4 linked regions of the Xenopus tropicalis genome follow. The protein of the gene in region 1 interacts with the protein of each later gene in a pairwise test. Links are inferred from orthologs where the notes say so. Each region holds a gene or a part of one and is shown in the gene's direction. Other genes may lie near its edges.

The links.
Region 2: the proteins of fundc1 (region 1) and tufm interact in binary tests that used the Homo sapiens proteins (3 or more experiments, as listed by UniProt). The two-hybrid records come from large-scale screens. The link is inferred for Xenopus tropicalis from reciprocal best matches to the Homo sapiens genes FUNDC1 and TUFM.
Region 3: the proteins of fundc1 (region 1) and yes1 interact in binary tests that used the Homo sapiens proteins (3 or more experiments, as listed by UniProt). The two-hybrid records come from large-scale screens. The link is inferred for Xenopus tropicalis from reciprocal best matches to the Homo sapiens genes FUNDC1 and YES1.
Region 4: the proteins of fundc1 (region 1) and ehhadh interact in binary tests that used the Homo sapiens proteins (3 or more experiments, as listed by UniProt). The two-hybrid records come from large-scale screens. The link is inferred for Xenopus tropicalis from reciprocal best matches to the Homo sapiens genes FUNDC1 and EHHADH.

What each region holds. Positions count from the first base shown.
Region 1 is NC_030678.2:55,858,523-55,863,886, forward strand, and holds the start of fundc1 (FUN14 domain-containing protein 1), read left to right. Parts: upstream 1-2,010; 5' UTR 2,011-2,015; coding exon 2,016-2,031; intron 2,032-3,990; coding exon 3,991-4,147; intron 4,148-4,571; coding exon 4,572-4,647; intron 4,648-5,364. UniProt on the Homo sapiens protein: Integral mitochondrial outer-membrane protein that mediates the formation of mitochondria-associated endoplasmic reticulum membranes (MAMs).
Region 2 is NC_030685.2:348,093-352,629, reverse strand, and holds part of tufm (elongation factor Tu, mitochondrial), read left to right. Parts: intron 1-1,703; coding exon 1,704-1,776; intron 1,777-2,117; coding exon 2,118-2,237; intron 2,238-2,620; coding exon 2,621-2,720; intron 2,721-3,736; coding exon 3,737-3,914; intron 3,915-3,991; coding exon 3,992-4,096; intron 4,097-4,442; coding exon 4,443-4,537. UniProt on the Homo sapiens protein: GTP hydrolase that promotes the GTP-dependent binding of aminoacyl-tRNA to the A-site of ribosomes during protein biosynthesis. Also plays a role in the regulation of autophagy and innate immunity.
Region 3 is NC_030682.2:107,964,849-107,970,186, forward strand, and holds the start of yes1 (tyrosine-protein kinase Yes), read left to right. Parts: upstream 1-1,699; 5' UTR 1,700-1,831; intron 1,832-5,338. UniProt on the Homo sapiens protein: Non-receptor protein tyrosine kinase that is involved in the regulation of cell growth and survival, apoptosis, cell-cell adhesion, cytoskeleton remodeling, and differentiation.
Region 4 is NC_030685.2:54,569,879-54,575,214, forward strand, and holds the start of ehhadh (peroxisomal bifunctional enzyme), read left to right. Parts: upstream 1-1,859; 5' UTR 1,860-1,920; coding exon 1,921-1,994; intron 1,995-3,622; coding exon 3,623-3,726; intron 3,727-3,827; coding exon 3,828-4,000; intron 4,001-4,803; coding exon 4,804-4,915; intron 4,916-5,336. UniProt on the Homo sapiens protein: Peroxisomal trifunctional enzyme possessing 2-enoyl-CoA hydratase, 3-hydroxyacyl-CoA dehydrogenase, and delta 3, delta 2-enoyl-CoA isomerase activities. Catalyzes two of the four reactions of the long chain fatty acids peroxisomal beta-oxidation pathway.

The sequences.
Region 1 (5,364 bases):
CTCCTTCAGTCACTTCTTCCCCTCTTTGAGCTTTAATATTTGCTCAGGGCCTCCTTAGTTCATAACAGGTTTACAGATATATGGAAAAAACTGGTACAGGTATCGGACCCCTTATCCGGAAACCCGTTATCCAGAAAGCTCCGAATTACGGAAAGCCCATCTCCCATAGACTCCATTTTAATCAAATAATTCAGAATTTTAAAACTGATTTCCTTTTTCTCTGTAGTAATAAAACAGTACCATGTAATTGATCCCAACTAAGATATAAATAATCCTTATTGGATGCAAAACAATCCTGTTGGGTTTGATTAAAGTTTTATTGATTTTTTAGTAGGCTTAAGGTATGGAGATCCATATTACGGGAAGACCCCTTATCCGGAATACCCTTGGTCCCGAGCATTCTGGATAATAGGTCCTATACCTGTACCAGTTATCCTGTTAAACATGAAGGGGTATCCAGGGTATAAACAAACTCACCCAAAATTTCAACCTAATGGGTTTTCAAGTTGAGCTTCCATGAGTATCCAGGAGAACAAACACATTCTCCAATAAATGCCCAGCCCCATAGTTGAAACTGTCCGAGGACCACATTACTTAATCTCCTTGTGATCCTTCTGTCCATTTTTTCAGGTTTATTCAGTTAGGAAACCATCTTTTACCTTTGCTGATCACTTGTCAATATTTCCAATGTGAATAATTCACAAGTGAACTGAACAGAGCTATTAACACCTTCTTTCTTCTGTTTATTTGCTACATTATTTAATCAATTTCCAGCTCTGCATTATTTCCAGTATTTTATCTCCATCTTTTCTGGCAACTTGTTAATTTTACAACAACTTCCTTAAACTTTCTTTAAACAAGCTTTTTAGTCAGTTTGAGTGGTGTTTAGTGATTGGGTTTATGTAGAAAAAAGGAATTACATCTTTTCTGGGAAAAAAAAAAACTTTCTATTTCCATTTTCTTTATTCTCTAATAAAGAGGCTGTCGAAAGATGTACTTTCCCAAACACATTTCTCTAGAAAAAAACTTATCGTTTACCTAATATTAGTATTTATAGTTGGCATTTACCCTAAGCACAGATGCAGGTATCAGCAGGGGATAACAAAGTTTCCTCTCAAGGCAACTTTGGGGACAGCGGTGCCGCGTATTCCATCCCACCGGTGATTTACATTATAGTTGGTGGGATGGCATATCGGAGAGATTAGTCGCACGCAACGGAGATTTGTCACGGCGTGACTAATCTCCCCGTGTACCGCTGCCCTAGGGATTGCATGGCTGTTTGCAATACTGTTACGTCTGGACTACCACTATGGTAGAACTTTTCAGAGCTCCATGTGTCTCACCCTAAGGGCAGGGGTACATGGGGACATTAGTCGCACCGCGACAAATCTACGTTGTGATGGGCGACTAATCTCCCCGCAATACCATCCCATTGGCTAGAATGTAGATTACCGGTGGGATGGCATACGCAGCGCCATGATTTGCCAAAGTTGCCTTGAAAGGAAACTTCGGGCAGCCTAAACAAATCGCGGCGCTGTGTATGCCATCCCACCAGCGATTTACATTCTAGCCAATGGGATGGTATTGCGGGGAGATTAGTAGCCCGCAACAACAAAGATTTGGCCCACACCAACTAATCTCCCTGTGTGTCACTGTCCTATGGGTCAGGCAAGGCATAGAATAGCAAACAAGCACCTAAAGAGTTAGTATAACAGATCTATACTATCATATTATAACATCATAATCATGTTAAAGTACAATTTCATACTACTTATAAATCATTCATATGGGAAACATGGAACTCCTCAGCTTGACTCGGTTTTATAGAAGAACGGCGATATATTATCAGAGAGCGTCACAAACTACCGTCCTTCTTCACAATTTTTACAACACAGAACTGGGAGTGTCGGAGCTACACTGCACGTATGAGCGTGAGCCCGCCTTCTGCGTACGTGACGTATTGCGTCACTGCAATAGGGAAAAAAAAAAAAAAAAGATCAGCAGAGGAGAGAATCATGGCTGCCCGGAGAGGTAAGCAGGTCACCGGTTAAAGAAAGAGCCCGTGTAAGGCAAAGAGTAAATGAATTGTTCTTGTAGCTTGGCTAGATGAAAGTGTGATCATAGCGTGTGTTTATTGGCGGCCTGTGCTTAACTTCATAAGGTCTGAATTATTTTGTTTACAAATTACATGTGTGCGTGTAATTGACACAGTGTTGACAGATATATGTGAAACTGCGTAAAAAGTGTTCATTTTTCCACATTGCGCTAATAAAGCAGTGGAAAGAGAGAAGAGGAACAACCTCTCAGAAAGAAAGAGCCAATGATAGTGATGGAAACCTAAAGATACATTTTCATAATTAACTTAACTTAAATGTCCTTCTAATCCACATAAATATATATATATATATACCCATAGATTAAATGTTTTTAGTGTTATTCTAGGTGAAAGCTGTATTTTGCTTTCACTTTTGTGCTGATTTCTCCAACCACAGATCAGTTGGGTTCTGCTACATTGTTTCAATAGTTAGACCCACCAGGGCATACAAAGTAATAGATGCCGATTTGAATAGCAATTGCATAGGCAAAAAGTGATACACTTGACTATTTGCAATTACGTGTATAATTGAAACCTGCTAAGCATTCCCATTTCTTTCATTTAGGTTGGACTGCAATTTTCACCCAGTACAGGAGTAGATCCTTAATAGCTTTGAAAGCTTGTTTCTTGTGCTTAAAGAGATACTGACACCAGAAATTAAACCTTTTTTTACATCTATCATAACATTGTCTTTGCATGACCTTAATTTTTGCCATAAAAGCATTTGCCCAATGCTTTTATATAACCTGTCTGATCCCCCATGTTCCCCTATAAGGGGGCTGCCATATTTGTCTAGCAGGAGGCCGTTAGCATTAGAACTGACAGGCTGAGAAGGGACAGTCAGGTTGGCTAAACAGTCAGGTTTAGGGACTTCAAGTAACAATTATTTACAAAAGCAAATCTCTCAGCGAAAATCAATCAACATGACCTATAGGCAACTTTTAATGTACATTCATATTTTGAGGAGTCGTTTTTTAGTGTCGGTATCACTATAAGAATTACATTTCTATAACTGGTTGGTATCAACATCCTTTTTGAATTTCAGCACTGCTCAAATATTTTTACTTTGAGAATAAACACTGTATCTTTTGCTTCAGTATAGCAGGGCCAAGTCCCACTTTTGCATAAACCACTATATAGTTTTAATAAACTTGGTTCACCAACAAATGTTTGTAATATTGGTGTGTTTATGAGCTTCTGCAGGTCCTTAAAAACAACTAAATGATGCTTTGCACACTGTATTTATTGTAGCCTATTGTGGTCCAGACCTGTTCTTGTGTTTTCTTGTGTTTTGGGGTCTTTTTCTTTACTAAAAATTATAACCCCCTGGTGTAAAATATTAAGTACTTAGGGAATCCACAAAGCCAATGTAAGCAGGTAGAAATATTTTTTAAGGAAACATCCCTGACAAAGCTATGCACGTTTCATGGCGCTTGGCTGTGGATATGACACATAAAGGCAATTCACTGTTCACAATTCACTAGGACAAAAACAACTGTGCTATTGCACAACACTTTGCTGGCTCGGGTGTATAATTTAAAGTAAAGGTATGTGGTATTTATGGAGGGACAGTTTTTTTACATGCATACCCACTGAATGCAATCACTTTTTACCTTGACACTCCTCTTTTGTTAAAAAAAAAAAAAAAAAAAAGTGCCGTCCTGGAGAAATTTTCTATTGAATGCTGAGCTGCCCTTTTTTTTGATTCACAGCAATCCATTTTGGGTGACATAACCTATGTGTGTGTGCAGTATAGTATAATATCTGGCTTTAATATACTGTAATAGACCTAAGTATTTATGTATTCCTTTGTCTTTGGAGCACAGAGTAAATAGTAATAGGTAGTTTCATTTAGATGGAAACATTTTCTCAGTATATGTTTGAATTTTTCTTAGAGCCCAGCAGTGACGATGAATCATATGAAGTGTTGGACCTAACAGAGTATGCCAGACGTCACCATTGGTGGAACCGCTTGTTTGGGCGGAATTCTGGGCCACTTACAGAAAAGTATTCTGTAGCTACACAAATCGTCATGGGAGGTGTGTCAGGCTGGTAAGAAATGCATCTTCAAGGCATACCTACAGTTGTGTTAGCTCTTTCTTAACAGTTCAGTGCCACTCTGTAAAAAAAAAAAAAAAGACTTAATAAATTAGTCAGGATTTAAGAACATTCTTGGTTATAGTTATTTTCTTAAGGGCCAGTATGCTGCCCGGCCACATAGCGCATTCAGTAGACATGCATGCATGGATGCATCACAGAGGTTTCCAGCAAGGTTCAATAATATAATCCAGCTGCTGGATTACAAGTGAGTTTTGCTGATAGTTTTTATGTATTCAAATACAGTATAGAATGTGCCTATATTGTGGGCATTTTATACACAGATTTGCATGTTTATATATCATACAGACTTAGAAATCTTAGAGTATATATTGATATAACTGCTAAATGTATTCAAATATGTTTATTTTATTTATAGGTGTGCAGGATTTTTGTTTCAAAAAGTTGGCAAACTTGCTGCAACAGCAGTAGGTGGGGGTTTCCTTTTGCTTCAGGTAATAAATAACATTTTTCTTATTTTTTGGCAGCAAGTGACGATTTTTACACATATAGGATGTGATGTCTTAAAATGTGGAGCCTTACACAGTTCTGCAGTGATCAATGATACTATGGGTAGCAGATTGCAAAAATGGTCTGGGCCTGGGGGAATAAATACCTATTCTCTGACTTTTATTCCATTCTATTGCTGACACTCCTCTCATGTTACCTATTAAAGGACAAGTATTCATTGTGGGGGTGTGAATGTGTTCGACACCCTCAGTGGATATAATACCTTAGACACCTGCTCTGAGTACTAGTTCATGAGTGATTCTGCCATGATTTCCTGTTGCTCAGCAGTCCTCTCCACAGTTTTGGTGCAGTTTTAGTGCTCATGCACAGTAACTTAATACATTTGCTTTAAAGTTCCTATTTTCCTGTACAACCCATTCAGGCTGTCTACGACACCAGAAGGTTTCTGGGGCATTGGGCAGTCATGCATCCTACTTCATGGCTAGTGTCTTACTGGGGATCTTTCTGTAATTTGGATCATTGTACTTTATGACTACTAAAAAATAATTTAAAAATGAATTGAACTCAATGGGATTGTTTTGCCTCCAATAAGGATTAATAATATCTTGGTTGCAATCAAGTACAGGGTTCTGTTTTATTACTATAGAGAAAAAGGGAATCATTTTTATAAATAAAAATTATTTTATTAAAATGAGAAATGG
Region 2 (4,537 bases), on another chromosome or scaffold:
GGTGCGGGTAGGTTTGGGCACGGCGTGGGCACGGTTGGGTTGGTAGGTTTGGCGCGCGTGTTGCGGTAAGTCGGTGCGGGTAGTTGGGTGCGGGTGGGAAGGGTCGCGGGTGGTAGTATGTTGGGTGTGCGGTGGGTAAGGTCAGGAAGGTTCGGTAGGTTGGCGCTGGGTGCTGTGTTCGGTAAGGGTCGGTGCGGGTAGGTTGGGCGCGGGTGTGGTAAGGGTCTGTTGTGGGTGGTTGGTTGCTCAGGTGGTAAGTCGCGGCGGTAGGTTTGGGCACGGGTGGTAAGGGTTGGGTTGTGGGTAGGTTTGCGCGGGTGATCTGGGTAAGTGGGTCGGTGCGGGTAGGTTTGCTGTGGCGGGTGGGCACGCGGTCGTGTGGGTAGGTGTTGGCGCACGTCTCGTCTGTGGGTAGGTTTGGGCGCGGGTGGGTAAGCGTCCGGTGCGGGTGGTAGGTTGGCGGGCTGGTAGGGGCTCTCGGTGTGGGTAGGTTTGGGCCGGGCGTTGTTTTAGGGGTACCGTTTGGGCGCGGGTGTGGTAAGGGTCGTGCGGTAGCGTAACTTGGGCTGCGGGTTGGGCACGGCGTCCGGTGTGGGGTAGTTTGGCCAACGGGTCCGCCGCGTTTGTGGGTAGTCTGTGCACGGGTCGGTTGGTGGTAGGTTTGGGCCACGGTCGGTGTGGGTAGCGTTGGGCACGCGAGTCTCGGTGTGTGGTAGGTTTGGCACGGTCGGTGTGGGTTACGTTTGGGCACGGGTCGCCGTGCGTAGTTTCGGTGCGCGGGGTGGGTAAGGGTCGGTGCGGTAGTTGGTTCCGCAGCCGTGGTAAGGTGTCGGTGCGGGTACGTTTGGTGCTTCTGTGCGTGGGTAAGGTGTCAGAATAGTGCGGGAGGTCCTTGCGGCACGGGTCGAGGGGGTGGGTAGGTTTTGGGTCTATCGGGTCAGGTTGTGGGCTATGGTTTGGGGCGCGTACCTACCTTGTGCCTGCATTGGTAAGGGCTTCGGTGTGGACTGTGTGGTGATCTTGGCGCGCAGGTCCGTGCGGCAGTCAGTTTCGAAGGTCTGCGAAGGTCGCTGTGGGGGTAGTATGATTTTGGGGTGACGAAGTGTGGTTTTGGAGCGCGCAGTCCTGGTTGCGGGATGTTTTGGAGCGCAGGCCGGTTATGCGGCCGTCATGAGGATTTGCGCGACATGGCCGGTGGGGGGTGTTCGTGCGCAGCGGTGGGGGTGGCCGTTGGGGTGCGCAGTGCCGCGTAGTTTTGTACGTAGCTCGCGGATAGGTTTGCTGCCCCGTGCGTGGGTGTAAGTTGCTGGGCGCACGTGCCGAGTTGCCGTGGGTTTGGTGGCGGGTCAGTTTGGTGCAGTCGGATCCACAGATGTGGGTCAGCTTTAGGGTTGCCAGGTCGGTGTGCGGGTCAGTTTGCGCGCTGCAGGGTCGGTCAGGTGGCTGTGTCGTTGCGTCGGCAGGTCCGGTCCGTGGTCCGGAGGTTTCGGCGAGGCCGGTGCGGGTCGGGTTTGAGGTGGTGCGTCATTCTTGTGCTATGTCTTCTGTCGAGGATCTGTGTGGTCGTTTGGGTTGTGTTCTGACAGATAACCTGCACTCTGCTAAGGTCGCGGCTTGGACGTTAGTATTTGGCACAGCACATCCATGTACATGATGCATGGTTCCATTCGAGCGTTCATGACCTTTACTCCTCTCTCCCATAGTCCCGGCCCAGTCCTGCTGCCCGCTGGTGCCCCCTGCTGTTCCGGGCATATGCCACAGAGGCCAAGAAGACTTAATCGTAGTTAGGGACAAGCGCAGCATCGTCCAGGTGCGAGCCATTGTGCATGTGGGGATCATGCCAAGGATCCACCCTGACAGCTGCCATTACCTCATAGAGATAAGTCTGGGAGGGAGGCCCCGGGGTTTATCGGCCGTTCCCCTGGTGCCAGGTCAGTGCTAGTGAGTAGTGAGCCTCTGAGTGGCGGTCTACGTGGCCGCTTCCCCGGCTGCCAAGGCAGGCGTAAAGGTGATGAGTGAAAGGCGGGTTACTGGGGCCGTATCCCTGTGGGCCAATGGCAGTGCTATGTGGAGAGTTGAGGCGTGAGCGTACTGCGCCTTCTGTTCCCCTGTGCCAGGCAGTGACATAGTGAGAGTGAGCGCGGGTACTGCGCCGTTCCTCCTGCTGTCCAGGCAGGCGTGCTGGTGGGATAGTGTGAGGCGACTGCGTTCCCCTGGGCCAGGCAGGCTGGTCGGGAGTGAGGCCGCACGGTATAGGCCGCACTTCCCCTGTGCCAGGCCAGCTCGCTAGTCGCAGAGTGCAGGCAGCTACTGCCAGTTTCCCCTTGTTGCCAGGCAGGCTAGTGAGGTGAGTGCAAGGCGCAGTACTTGGCCGACGTCCCCTGTGCCAGTGGCGGGCTGAGTGGGAGTGAGCTTGGTTTACTGGCCTCGTTCACCCTCGTGCCAGGCGAGGCTGGGTGGGAGTGAGTGCGGGCGCCCTACTGGCCCCGTCTCCCCTGTTGCCAGTGCAGCGTCGTGGGCCAGGTGAGGTTGCGCCCGTCACTGAGCCTTTCCCCCTGTGCCAGGCAGGCTGGTCTGGAGTGAGGGCGCCTGATGGTACTGCTGTGTTCCCCTGTGCCAGGCATGGAGATCTGCGGTGAGAGTCGAAGGCGGCGGAGTACTGCTCGCTTCCCCCTGTGCCAAGGCAGAGCTATGTGGGTCAGCGTGATCAGTGCCGTGCGGTTAGTCACTCGGCCGCTTCCCGTGCCGAGGCAGGCTAGTGCGGTAGTGAGACGGGTAACAGTGCCCGTTCCCCTGTGCCAAGGCGCAAGGCTAGTGAGAGTGAGGCCGCAAGTGATACTAGGGTACCCAATCAACTGTTCCCCTGTGCCAGCAGGGCTTGTGGAGTGAGCGCGGGATGATACTGAGCCGCCTCGTTCCCCTGTGCCAGGCAGGCTATCGGGTGCGGAAGTGAGCGCGACGTACTGGCCCGCTTCCCCCTTGATGCCATGGTGACAGGCTGGTGGGAGTGAGGGTCTCACAAGTCCATGGCCAAATGTACTTGCCCCGTTTCCCACTCCTGTGCCAGGACAGCGCTAGGTGAGGTGCAGGCGGTTAGTGGCCGTTCCCCTGTGCCAGGCAGGCTAGTGGGAGTGAGGCGGGTAGTGGCCGTTCCCCTGTGCCAGGCAGGCTAGTGGGAGTGAGGCGGGTAGTGGGCCGTTCCCCTGTGCCAGGCAGGCTAGTGGGAGTGAGGCGGGTACTGGCCGTTCCCCTGTGGTTCCCAGGCAGGCTAGTGGGAGTGAGGCGGGTACTGGCCGTTCCCCTGTGCCAGGCAGGCTGGTGGGAGTGAGGCGGGTACTGGCCGTTCCCCTGTGCCAGGCAGGCTAGTGGGAGTGAGGCGGGTACTGGCCGTTCCCCTGTGCCAGGCAGGCTAGTGGGAGTGAGGCGGGTACTGGCCATCCCATTTCTCATCTCCGCTCCTGCCCTGTTCCTTCCCAGTGTCTCGCCTCCTGCCCCGCTATTGCCCCGCCAGTGTCTCGGCTCCTGCCCCGCTATTGCCCCGCCAGTGTCTCGGCTCCTGCCCCGCTATTGCCCCGCCAGTGTCTCACCTCCTGCCCCACCAGTGTCTCGGCTCCTGCCCCCAGTCCACTCCGCTAAACACTCTGTACCTGTGGGGCTGCTGCCCTCTCTATAGACCTGCGGGTGGCTCAGTACAGTACAATGGTGTTTTATGAAAGTTCTATAAACTCCTGCTCTGATTGGTTCCAGTCCTGGCGGAGGCGGGGGGCGCCCAGTTCAAGAAGTACGAGGAGATAGACAATGCCCCGGAAGAGAAGGCGCGGGGCATCACTATCAATGCCTCCCACGTGGAATATGCCACGGCCAACCGCCACTACGCGCACACAGACTGCCCCGGGCACGCCGACTATGTCAAGGTGAGTGTGTGACTGTGGCTGATTGGCTAGAGAACCCCATGTGCCCACCTGCCCTGACTGTTATTTGCCCCGAGCAGAACATGATCACGGGGACGTCGCAGATGGACGGCTGTATCCTGGTAGTCGCTGCCACCGATGGGCAGATGCCCCAGACACGGGAGCACCTCCTGCTGGCCAAACAGGCAAGTGTGTGCCCCCCCGCACATATACATACCCTTGTGTACCCCTCTCCCCCCGCACATACCCTGATACCCTTGTGTGCTCCCCCTGCACATATACATACCCTTGTGTACCCCTCGCCCCCCGCACATACCCTGATACCCTGTGTGCTCCCCCTGCACATATACATACCCTGTGTACCCCTCTCCCCCCGCACATACCCTGATACCCTTGTGTTGCCCCCCTGCACATATACATACCCTTGTGTACCCCTCTCCCCCCGCACATATACATACCCTTGTGTACCCCCCCCGCACATACCCTGATACCCCCCGCACCCCGGCGCTGCTGACCCCCTGCCCGTTGCAGATCGGCGTGACCAACATCGTGGTGTACATAAATAAGGCCGACGCGGTGGACGACAAGGAGATGTTGGACCTGGTGGAGCTGGAGGTCCGGGAGCT
Region 3 (5,338 bases), on another chromosome or scaffold:
GGGTTTACTTGGATGGGTTGAACTTGATGGACACAGGTCTTTTTTCAACCCTATGTAACTATGTAACTATGTAACTATGTATATTAAAAATGCATTATCACTATAATGCCAAATTTTGTACTCCATTTCATTCCCACCAACAGTTCAGGCCAGGCTGGAACAAGATGTGCATAATGCAGGGCATCTCTGCCTACATAGCTATAGTTTGAAATCAGTGGCCCAAAGTCATTTAACCCCTTCAGCACCCATGTTACTTATTTAAAAAGGCAGAATTGCAAAGCTGCTCACTTTCATGCCACTTTTCCTGTCCATACAATACAGGGCATCCCTGCCTGCAAATATATAGGTTTAAATAAGAGGCCCACCATTATTTAACCCCTTCGACACATGATGTTATATATTAAAAAAGGCAGAATTGCACTCGCTGGAACAACATCTTGAACTCTGGGAACCCTGGACAACTTTCAAGACACTCTCAATAAGACAGTCCACAGAATAAGAGAGATTACCCACGAATACGGACACTAACCAACACCTTCTTAATGAAACGTACGATAACCCATGTCACTGATATTGTTACCTATTAATGCAAAATTGTTTTTTTTTTGGAAAATTGATAAATAAAGAGATTATAAAAAAAAAAAAAAAAAAGGCAGAATTGCAAAGATGACCACTTTCAAGCAACTTTAATTGCCCAGAACAGGGTCAGGCTGGAACGGGATATATCTAATGTAGGGAATCCTTGTCTGCAAATATATAGGTTTCAATTAGTGGCCCAGTCATTTAACCCCTTCAGCATTCTTGTTATTCAAAAAGGCAGATTTGCACGTGCCCACTTCCACGCCACTTTTCCTTACTAGAACCATTTTGGGCAAGGTAAGAAACGGTGCATTCCTTTTCTATAAATATATAGGTTTAAATTAGTGGCCCAAGGTGATTAACCCTTTAGACAATTAATTACAGATTCACTGAACTAAATAAGAAACTATTGCCACTTTGGTGCCACTTTTCCTGCCCAGGACTGTGTTGGGCCAGGCTAAAACAGGCTGTAGTTTACATAGAGCAACTCTGTCTATGAATGTTAACTTTTAAATCCGTGACCCATAGTAATTTAATACCTTAAAACACCAGTTACTTATTTACAAACCAACTACAATGTCCGAATAAGAACCTGGCCAAATAAGAGACCAACTTTAAAGCCATTATTCAGCAGTATTTGGGAGACAGATTTCAGTATGAGAAGAGGGGGGATTGTGTGACAGCTGGAGATAGCCTAGCTGCCCTGTGAGGAAGACAGCCATGTTGCACAGCACACGCTTTATCTCCAGCTCAGGTGCCCCTCCTCCTCTTCCCATGGAGCTGGGAGCAAACCACGCACAAGAAGAGGAGGGGGATGTGCGCTCCTAACAGCAAAAGCACCACCCAGTAAGTTTGCACCTTGCCACCGCTTGCTCTCCTGTATTTTCCTGCCTTCGCACTTCCTGCTGGAGCAGTTGCTTCATCGTGTTCTTCCTCTCGCTGTTTGAGAGCAAAGGAACTAGGAGCGGGGCTGGGAGAGGCTGAGGGAGAGGCTGAGGGAGCAGACCCTGGATGTGTCAGCCCGTGATTTCCCGGAGTAGGAGGGGGAAAGGGATGAGCGTGTGCCCATAGACAACATGGAATGAGAGAGAGGCTCAGGCAGCTCCTCCGGCCCGTCCTGCACTCTCCTTAGCGCCTCTCTGCCATCATAGGGACACGGGAGAGAAAGTCTGCGCTGCCGGCTGCTTATCGTTCATTTCAGGAGGAAAAGGAACTTACATGAGTCTCCTGGAGTATAGAGAGATATAGGCAGGTAAGTGGCGCTCACTCTCAGTGTGGGGATTTGCCTCAGGGCAGCCATAAGGTGAGGCGTGGGGGGGGTAACATTCCTGGAACCAAAAAGCAATATTTCCTTTCCAGTTTTGCTGCCACTATATGTACCCTGGGGGGTCAGTTTGCTTGAGGCCTCTTGTACTTCTGTTTTGTTTGCCAGCCCAGGTGGTCAAAGGTATGGAGGTTGTCCCTGTGGTCCATCAGCTGTTGAGAGGCTACAACTTCCACTGAGAGTTGTAGTTCAGCAATAACTAGAGGGATGGACTCTGCTGGCATTTGCTGACTTATTTCCTCTGTCCTTTAACTGCTGTGATTGGGGAAATCCCACTCCTAGGCCTGTGCATCCCAGCCCTTCCCCACTCTTCCTTCCTGAGCTGGCCCTTAGGAAAAACAATATCCTCAGTGCAGATGGGGCTGGCTCATAGAGGTGCTTGTGTCATGCTTGTGCCTGGAGATCACACAAACAAACTTCTGCTCACTCCTTTACCCTGCTGTCACTTCTGATTTGTTCCTTTGGTGTGCTGTCACCTTATGAGGCCATAAGCAGGTGTGTTAGTAGGTTGCTACAAGGCCTGGGCTACAGTATAAAGGCCTGTGGCTTGCAGTGATTCTTCTGAATTCCAGCCTTGATATTCTGAGACAATTTGCAATTGGTCTTCATTTTTCATAGTTTCAGTTATTTAGCTTTTTGTTCAACACATATTTAGTTTAGTATTATAATGACTGATGTGGTTGCTAGGTCTTTACCCTGGCAGTGGCTTTATCAAGAGACAGGAATATAAATAGGAGAGGGCCTGCATAGAAAGATAAGTAATGCAAAGAAACAATAGCAATAAAATCTTTGCCACACGGAGCAATTAAATTATTTTTGGCTGCTAAGGTCAGTGACTCCCATTTAAAATCTGAAAAAAGGGCAGAAGAGTGGCAACTAATTCAAAAACTTTAAAAAAATGATGAAAACCAATTGTGAAGTTGCCAGGAATAGGGCATTCTTTAACATACTAAAAGTTAACTTAAAGAGGAACCATCCCTTTAAAGGGGTAGTTCACCTTTGAATACTTGGTAGATAGTGATATTATGAGACAAATTGGCTTTAGTTTTTAAATCATTAAGCCTTTTGTTCATCAGCTCTCCAGGTTGGAGTTTCATCAGCTATCTGATCATTGGGGTCTGATTTACCCTATTTATTGGGCTGGTGGCTGTTTGGGCCTCTGTGTATTTCATATGCCAGGGCCTATTTTGAATCCCAGTTTGAAAGAGAGACTTAAAGATGAATAGGAGAGAGCTTGATTACAAATATAAAGAATAAGAACTAGCAATAAAACTATAGCTTTTTACTTCTGGGGTCAGTGACCCCCATATGAAAGTGGTAAAGTGGTTGAAGAAGGCGGCAAATTATCAAAAAAATAAAAAATTAAGACCAGCTGGAATAGGACATTTTATAACATTCTAAAAATTTATTTAAAGATGAACATCCCTTTTTAGTTTTTAAAGTGCTGGGCAATATTGCTTGAAATGTTGGTGAGAAAGCTGTGTTAAAACTGCTCCTGGGTCACATTTAGAAGGTCATGTACTGTACAGGTATAGGATCCCTTATCTGGAGACCTGTTATCCAGAAAGTTTTGAATTACGGAGGCCATCTCCCAATAAAAAAAATTCTAATTTTTAAAACTGATTTTCTTTTCTCTGTAATAATAAAACAGTACCTTGTACTTGATCCCAACTAAGATATAATTAATTCTTATTGGAGGCAAAACTACCTGTTGGGTTTAAATGATGTTTGTTTAAATGATTTTTTAGTAGACTTAAAGTATTGAGATCCAAATTACAGAAAGATCCCTTATCTGGAAAGCCCCAGGTCCCAAGCATTCTGGACAACAGGTCCAATACCTGTACTAGGTTCCCCTATGCTTTACAATCCCTAATAAAGGTAGCAGTGGGAAGCAGATACATAGCTGCAGTTTGTGCAGTGCTTAGAGCCACTAAAATGATCTTATTTCCATCCAAACATGCACATTTTGGAGTTATGGACAGCAGTATAAACACCGCTTGCAGTTATATAATACGTTTATACCCTCACTGTTGTTGCCTTGATGACACTCGTTATTTTGGCCCTGTCTAACAGAGGGTGACTACTTATAGAGTCATCACGCAACCCCACTGTGTCCTATTTCAATTAAGTATTAGTGTAGGGCATTGGCTTTTAATAGGTTAAAAAGGCTTGTGTGTTTGGAGAGAAAATAAATCCGTAATCCTGCTTTTGACCCACTTCCACATGAATAGTCACAGAGAAGGAAGAGGAAAGGAATTCATTCATAAATTCCCCCCCCATTCATGCATACAAGTGAACTGCTGTCCTGTCTGGTCACAGCTGAGAACAACTGCTTTCAAAGAATCACTGGTCTCTTTTTACGCAGAGTTTGATTGAAGACAACAAATTACAAATATTTGTATGGGTTTTTGACTTAATTAAGTTTACAGTACACACTAATATATATTAGTATGTGACCATGTACTCATGTACTGTTGCCCCCTTTCTAACATATCCTTACAGATTAAATATTCTACAGTACATCTGTAAAGTTATCACTAAGCAGCAAAACAATAAAGCAAAACTAAATGCAAATAGAAAAAATAAAAATTATCTTTTATACAGGTAACTTTGCTGCAGACACTAATTTCCAAGGATTGGTTTCTTTGTTCTTACAGTATGGAGACAGCTGCCTTTTCAGTCTTTCAGCTGTGCCCCATTTATATTACACTACAATGAGTTGTAGCCCAAGGGCAAAATAATGTTGAAATCTTTGTGAAATGTATAAAGGCTATTGAAAGGGGTATATCCTCTGCTGGCAGGTCTCATCTGGGAGAAGAGTGCCTGAACCCCCCCCCCCCCCCATGTTGCCCATTTACGCAAATAGGGAAAATGCAACAGAGTAGGTAATGGCATTTTTCAGTGCCAAACACTCAGAGTGCTTTTTGGCCTGGAAAGGGCCAGTACCCCAACCACTGTCTTAATGATTACTTGCCAACTTAAGGTTGCCACATATTGAAAGATGAGCTTGTTTGGCGACCTCACCATATGATGGGATCTGTCTGATGTCCCCACCTTAAGGCAGTATGGGGCTGGTCTGATCAGGCCAAACTATCAGATCACAGCAGTGGGGACACACGCTGTCAGGGTGTGGGCCTCATCAGTGAGCCAATGCGGTCCTCGGCCCTACAGGATTTTTAAACTTGACCAATTGGAATCTGCCTCATTTTCATCCAGATATCTGTCAGGCAGCCCCATACATAGATTGATGGGTCTGAATGGGTCAAATCGGCAGCTTAAATCTGCCCGTGTATGGCCACCTTTACCCAAAAATAACTAGAGGAAAAGATACTTGTACATTGTTCTGGCTTAGACTGAGTAATAACCATACATTTGTTTTGGTGGAAAAGAAGTTAGCCATGATAGAGCAGTATAACTGAAAGAAAGTTAAACCTT
Region 4 (5,336 bases), on another chromosome or scaffold:
TGCACTTTGCACCATGCACTATAGTCATAAATGAGCCAGTTAACACTAGTCCCCCATGGGGCTTTTTTGCCTGTTTGGACAATCTTCAGACTGGGGTCAACATCATTTTCCCAATGGCTAGCAACTAAACCCCTACAGTACAGGGCTGCTAAGTGGTAAATGCGTAGTAGTGTAACTAGAGGTTTAAAGTAATAGTAACACTTAGTAACTCAGGTCTTTGCAAAATTCAATTGTTCATGAAAATGTGCTTACATTTGAGTTCTGATCCTGTGTGGTCACCATGGTATAAGCTAACAACACCATTTAACTGCACTGCCAGATTCTTTCTGTCAGTCAAGCATTTAAAGGACATGTAAAGCCTACATTTGCCTACAATGTATATCAGTTGGGCACGTCTCCCCCACCCAAATAGCATTAGTTGTACTGCATATATCTCCTCCGTTTGCCAGCACCATCACATGTTCCTAAAGCGAATAGCAGCACACAGGCAGAACTATCTCTGATAAAGTTCTGATGTGTTTGAACTGAGCTCAGGAGAGAAGGTTGGGAGAAAAAAACTGAAGCAGACAGCTAGAGCTGAGTTTCTATGGGAACCAGCAATGCCATCTCTTCACTGGCTGCTAGATTAGGGGGCATGTTTAGTAATCTGATCTTACAACAACTGAGCATGCCCACAAGCCAACAGCCAAAGCAAATTCCTGAGGGAGGGGGCCGAGTGGGTTACAGGAGGAGATGCAAATCTAAGTGATTAAGGAGATGTTGCAGCCTTACTACCGGTATTAACCTCTGGACAACCAGTGTGGCAGGTATTGAGAGATTTCAAAGAGGCTGTTCACTGATTACATTTTTGTGTGTGGAGTTTACATGTCCTTTAATTTCCGCCTTACATGCAAGCCCAGAGGGATCATAAGAACGTGGTGCTTCTCTCTCCCTGTCTTCCGTTATCCAATAGCATTCTCACGAATTTTTTGAAACCCTCCGAAGTTCATATTGAAATCTGTGCAGGTAGCAATTTTTCGGCTTCATTCGGGCATTTTTGCATGCATGTGACGTCACGTCTGCAAGTGAGCACCGGTGCGTGATGTCACTTCCATGCAGCAATACTGATGAACGAATAATTATAATTTCAAGATGGCGAACCACAGGTGCTGCCTTCTGCTTGCCTTTTAACTTTCCACTCCTCTGGAGTGGGACTAGAAAAAAATAAATGAACCACAGAGGCAGGAAATTGAAAAATAAAGTGGGGAAATAAAAAGCTTTTGGGCAAGGATATACAAAGAGAGTATCAGGGCCTAACACATGAAGAAAACAAGTTGGGGAAGTGGAATACAATTTGTAGTTGGGCAGGGATAAGAAAAGGAGTACCATACTAACTGTTGTAGGAATTAGGAGGTTAGGGTATAGGATCTGAGTATATTGGGAATTTTATCTAAAAATCTTTTAGATAGTAGCATTGGTAGGAAGGTGGAGTACAGATCATTCTTTAAATGTGGGAGTGGGTTAAATCGGCTATACAGATGTATACTTCTCTCCCAAGAATGAATTTTCTAAAATCTAGCTTTTCCCATTCATTAACTTGGGTTTAAACATTACAAGGCCATGCAAATATGCCACACCAAAGTATGTTTATACATGCTAGTATAATCTTGAAGCAGTTCATATTAAACCTTACAGAAGAGAAAAAAACAAACACAAATATGCATCAGCAGCTTTTAGTGACTAGCATGCTACTCTTGCTATACTGCATAGCTATGGCTTTCCCTCTCTACCCAAACACAATTTGTGATACACCCACTGAGCTACTGATTGGTCAAGTGTCGGAACAAACACTCGTTACATATCAAGGGAAGGGGCGGGGCTTCTCGGCTCTTGTTTCAAAGTGTAGGTGCACTTGAACTTTGTACTTATACAGCAGCGGCGATGGCTGCCACACGGACTCTGTCACATACAGTGGCTGTCATCAAAATCAACAATCCTCCTGTTAATGCGCTGAGGTAAGACGTTGAGCTGGATTCGTTGTGGGAAGGGACCTCAGCTATAGGTGTTTGTGGTGGACTGGAATCAATACACCATGAAGTACAAACCAGCCTTTTCTCGACCTTTGTATCTAAGTGTAGCTGAACTGTAACACCTTAAATGCCACTGATCATTGTAGAATTCTGGGAGTTGTAGTCCCACAGTAGCTATGAATACAGATTAAACACTCAAAATCCTAATTTGCAAGTTTAAGGCAAGTGCAATGCTCTGGTTTGGAATGCAAAATTGAGCATGCTTAGATAACTCAGAATTTATGATGAAACTAACCAAAATAGACACCACTTTGCATGTGTATGGGTGCATTCTGCACAAGGGATTGTATATGCCACTTGGAGAGTGCCTGCAATTACACTCTTAATCTGGATAAAAAACATTGTGATTTGCATCTGAAAATGGCACTTTGCACAGCGCTTTATGCTTGCGCCCTTCTGAAAGCTTCTAATAGCCTTATAATTGGCTCCTATTTTGCATCCCTCCCTCTGTTTCCCCAGTACCTTCCAGTGCTCTAGAAGAGTAATTCTATAAGGTGACCGGTATCTCCATACTGCAGCCCTCCACTGCTTGCACTGCATTACCAGCATTTGGCTGTCCATTTTCATGGACAGTATTTTTCTGGGATGTGCATGGTAAAGAAAGTGCAGTTCTGAGAAATATAGAGTAATTTAGAAATTGCTGGTAGCTGAATTATTTATCAGCATATAAACTGGGCAATATATATTAATAGACAAAGTGGCAACTTTACCTGAATATGCTCTAAGGTAACTTGCAGTAAATATCTCTTTGGCAGGAAATGAACAAGAAATATGAAATGGTGAAATCTAGGCTTAAGGTGGCCATGCACGGGCCGATTCTAGCTGCCAATATCGGTCCCTTAGACCGATTCGGCAGCTTATCAGCCCATGTAGGGGCACCAACGACGGGCCTGCCCGACCGACATCTGGCCTGAAATCGGTCAGATATCGATCGGGCAGGTTAAAAAATTTAGTCTGATCAGGGACCGCATCGGCTAGTTGATGTGGTCCCCAAACCAACTGCGCCCATTACCATCGTTCTTATGCCCAGGGCCAAACGACCGAATTAGCCTAAATTCACCCAGTATAGGTGGGGATATCAGAGAAGATCCGCTTGCTTGGTGACTTCGCCAAGCGAGCGGATCTTAACGTGTATGGCCACCTTTAATGTGTATTTCCCTGTAAAGAGGCAATGTATAGATGAAGCTGGTTTTAAAGATGCACTGTGTTCAGTAGTAACTTATAAGAAATGCCTGCTCCATCTGTAATATTGTAGTCATAATCTTGAGAGATGCTAGGGCTCAATAATATCCTTTTGTAAAGCTGGACTAAATATTGCCATTTCATTAAAATATGGCTACTGGGTGAACTGGTTCACTGATAAATAATTCTTTTTAATATGGTGGCTCTATCACACAACACACAAAAGAACTGAAGTCTGCTAGCTAAAGGTGCGTTGGTTTTTGTACAATTTGTGTGTTTCCTTGAGAATATGTTTGGGCTAATAAATCAACAAAAGAGGGACCATTTGCTTTTATTTGCTACCATATATTGTGCTTATTTGTCTGCCATAGCACTCCTGTCTGTCAGGCACTTATCAAGGAATTGGCAGAGGTCAAAAAGGACCCATCGGTAGAGGCCATTGTCCTGTGTGGAGCAAATGGAAAATTCAGTGCAGGTATGGTTGTGTTTATTTTTCTGTCACTGGATGGATCTGTGCTATCATTTTCTTTTTAAAATAGGTGATTCCATATTCTAATACACTCTTTACTGCCCCAGGAGCAGACATCCGTGAGTTTAGTTCTGCAGCTCGGAGAACCGTATCTTTAGAAGATATAAATGCTGAAATAGAAAGCACCACGAAGCCTGTGGTGGCTGCCATTGAAGGAGTGGCTCTCGGAGGAGGTCTGGAATTAGCATTATCGTGCCACTATCGTGTGGCACATATAAAGGTGCAGTCACTTTAGCATCTACTAAGATGTTAAGATCAGCGGGACAGGCGTCCATCTGGGCGCAGTCAGCATAGCAACAAAACTATTTGGCTTTGTCTGGTTCTTACCATTTCAGTTTACCTGCTCTGCCACTAAGCTGTGGCAGGTTACAAACAACAGTGAATAAAAGCATATAACAGCAATAGTCAAACTGTGGTAATGAGCTCCAGTATTAGTTTTGGTGGAGTTGTTGTTTGGAAGTGATACCTGGCACTTTCCCTGTCATAAGAACACTGGAAATAATATTAGGTCCTCATCTGTGTGAATTTCCCCTTAAAGTGGCCTTTTGGTATCTGATATGTACAAGGATTATGAATAACTGAATAGTAATGGGCAAACTATTTGATAATTTTGCTCCTACATGCGGCTACTCAGCACTGTGCCAAACTGTTCCAATAGAAACCCCTGGTTGTATGCTGCTGCTTTAAAAATAAAGTTTAATTGCACAAAGTTCATAACAGAATTACAGATAATTTTCTCTTGTTGGCTTACAAGTGCTATGCCTTGGGGAGGAAACCATAAAGTTTGTCTCTTCAAATAATGCAGTCCCAGAGGGCAGGTGAAACAAACATTTTTAGGCCGTAGGCTTTCACTGTAAAAGGTGAAAGTAGCAAACCACAACCCTCTTGGATGTGGCTTTTTCCTGGTCTAGATGGATTTGAGGCAGCAGCAGAAGTGTTATGTAATATATATCAGAAATGGAAGGTATATGAGTGTTAACATCTTCATATATAGTTAAAATACATCTTGATCTCTCTTTACAGACTGTTATGGGTCTCCCGGAGGTATTAATTGGAATTCTCCCAGCAGCTGGAGGAACCCAACGCCTGCCTCGCTTAATAGGCATTCCTGCTGCTCTGGATATTATTGTCCGTGGTACGCACTTTCTTTCTCCCTTTACACACAGAATAGTTGTTGTCACCATATAAAGTCCAAAGACCCATCTGGTGTTCTGCTTCTAAAATATCAGTCCTGTTTCAGTAATGCCATTGAGATGTCACCAGTCAAGATTACCATTGTAACTTCATTGTGCTTATAGATCTTTAGCTATTTCATATCATTACTAAAATTTCTTCCTCCAAACCTGCATTATTTTATTATGCTGAGAGTTGCTGAACCATATACGGTACATTGTCCTACCTACCTCCCAATTCCCTCTGCTCACGTCCATTTACCTCCATATACAGGAATGTGTGGTACTCTACCCACATCCCAGTGATATCTTGCACACTTCAAACAGCAGGTAGCTCCAGCTACCAGCAGAGGAGGGTTAAAAAGCAGAGGAGGGTTAAAATTA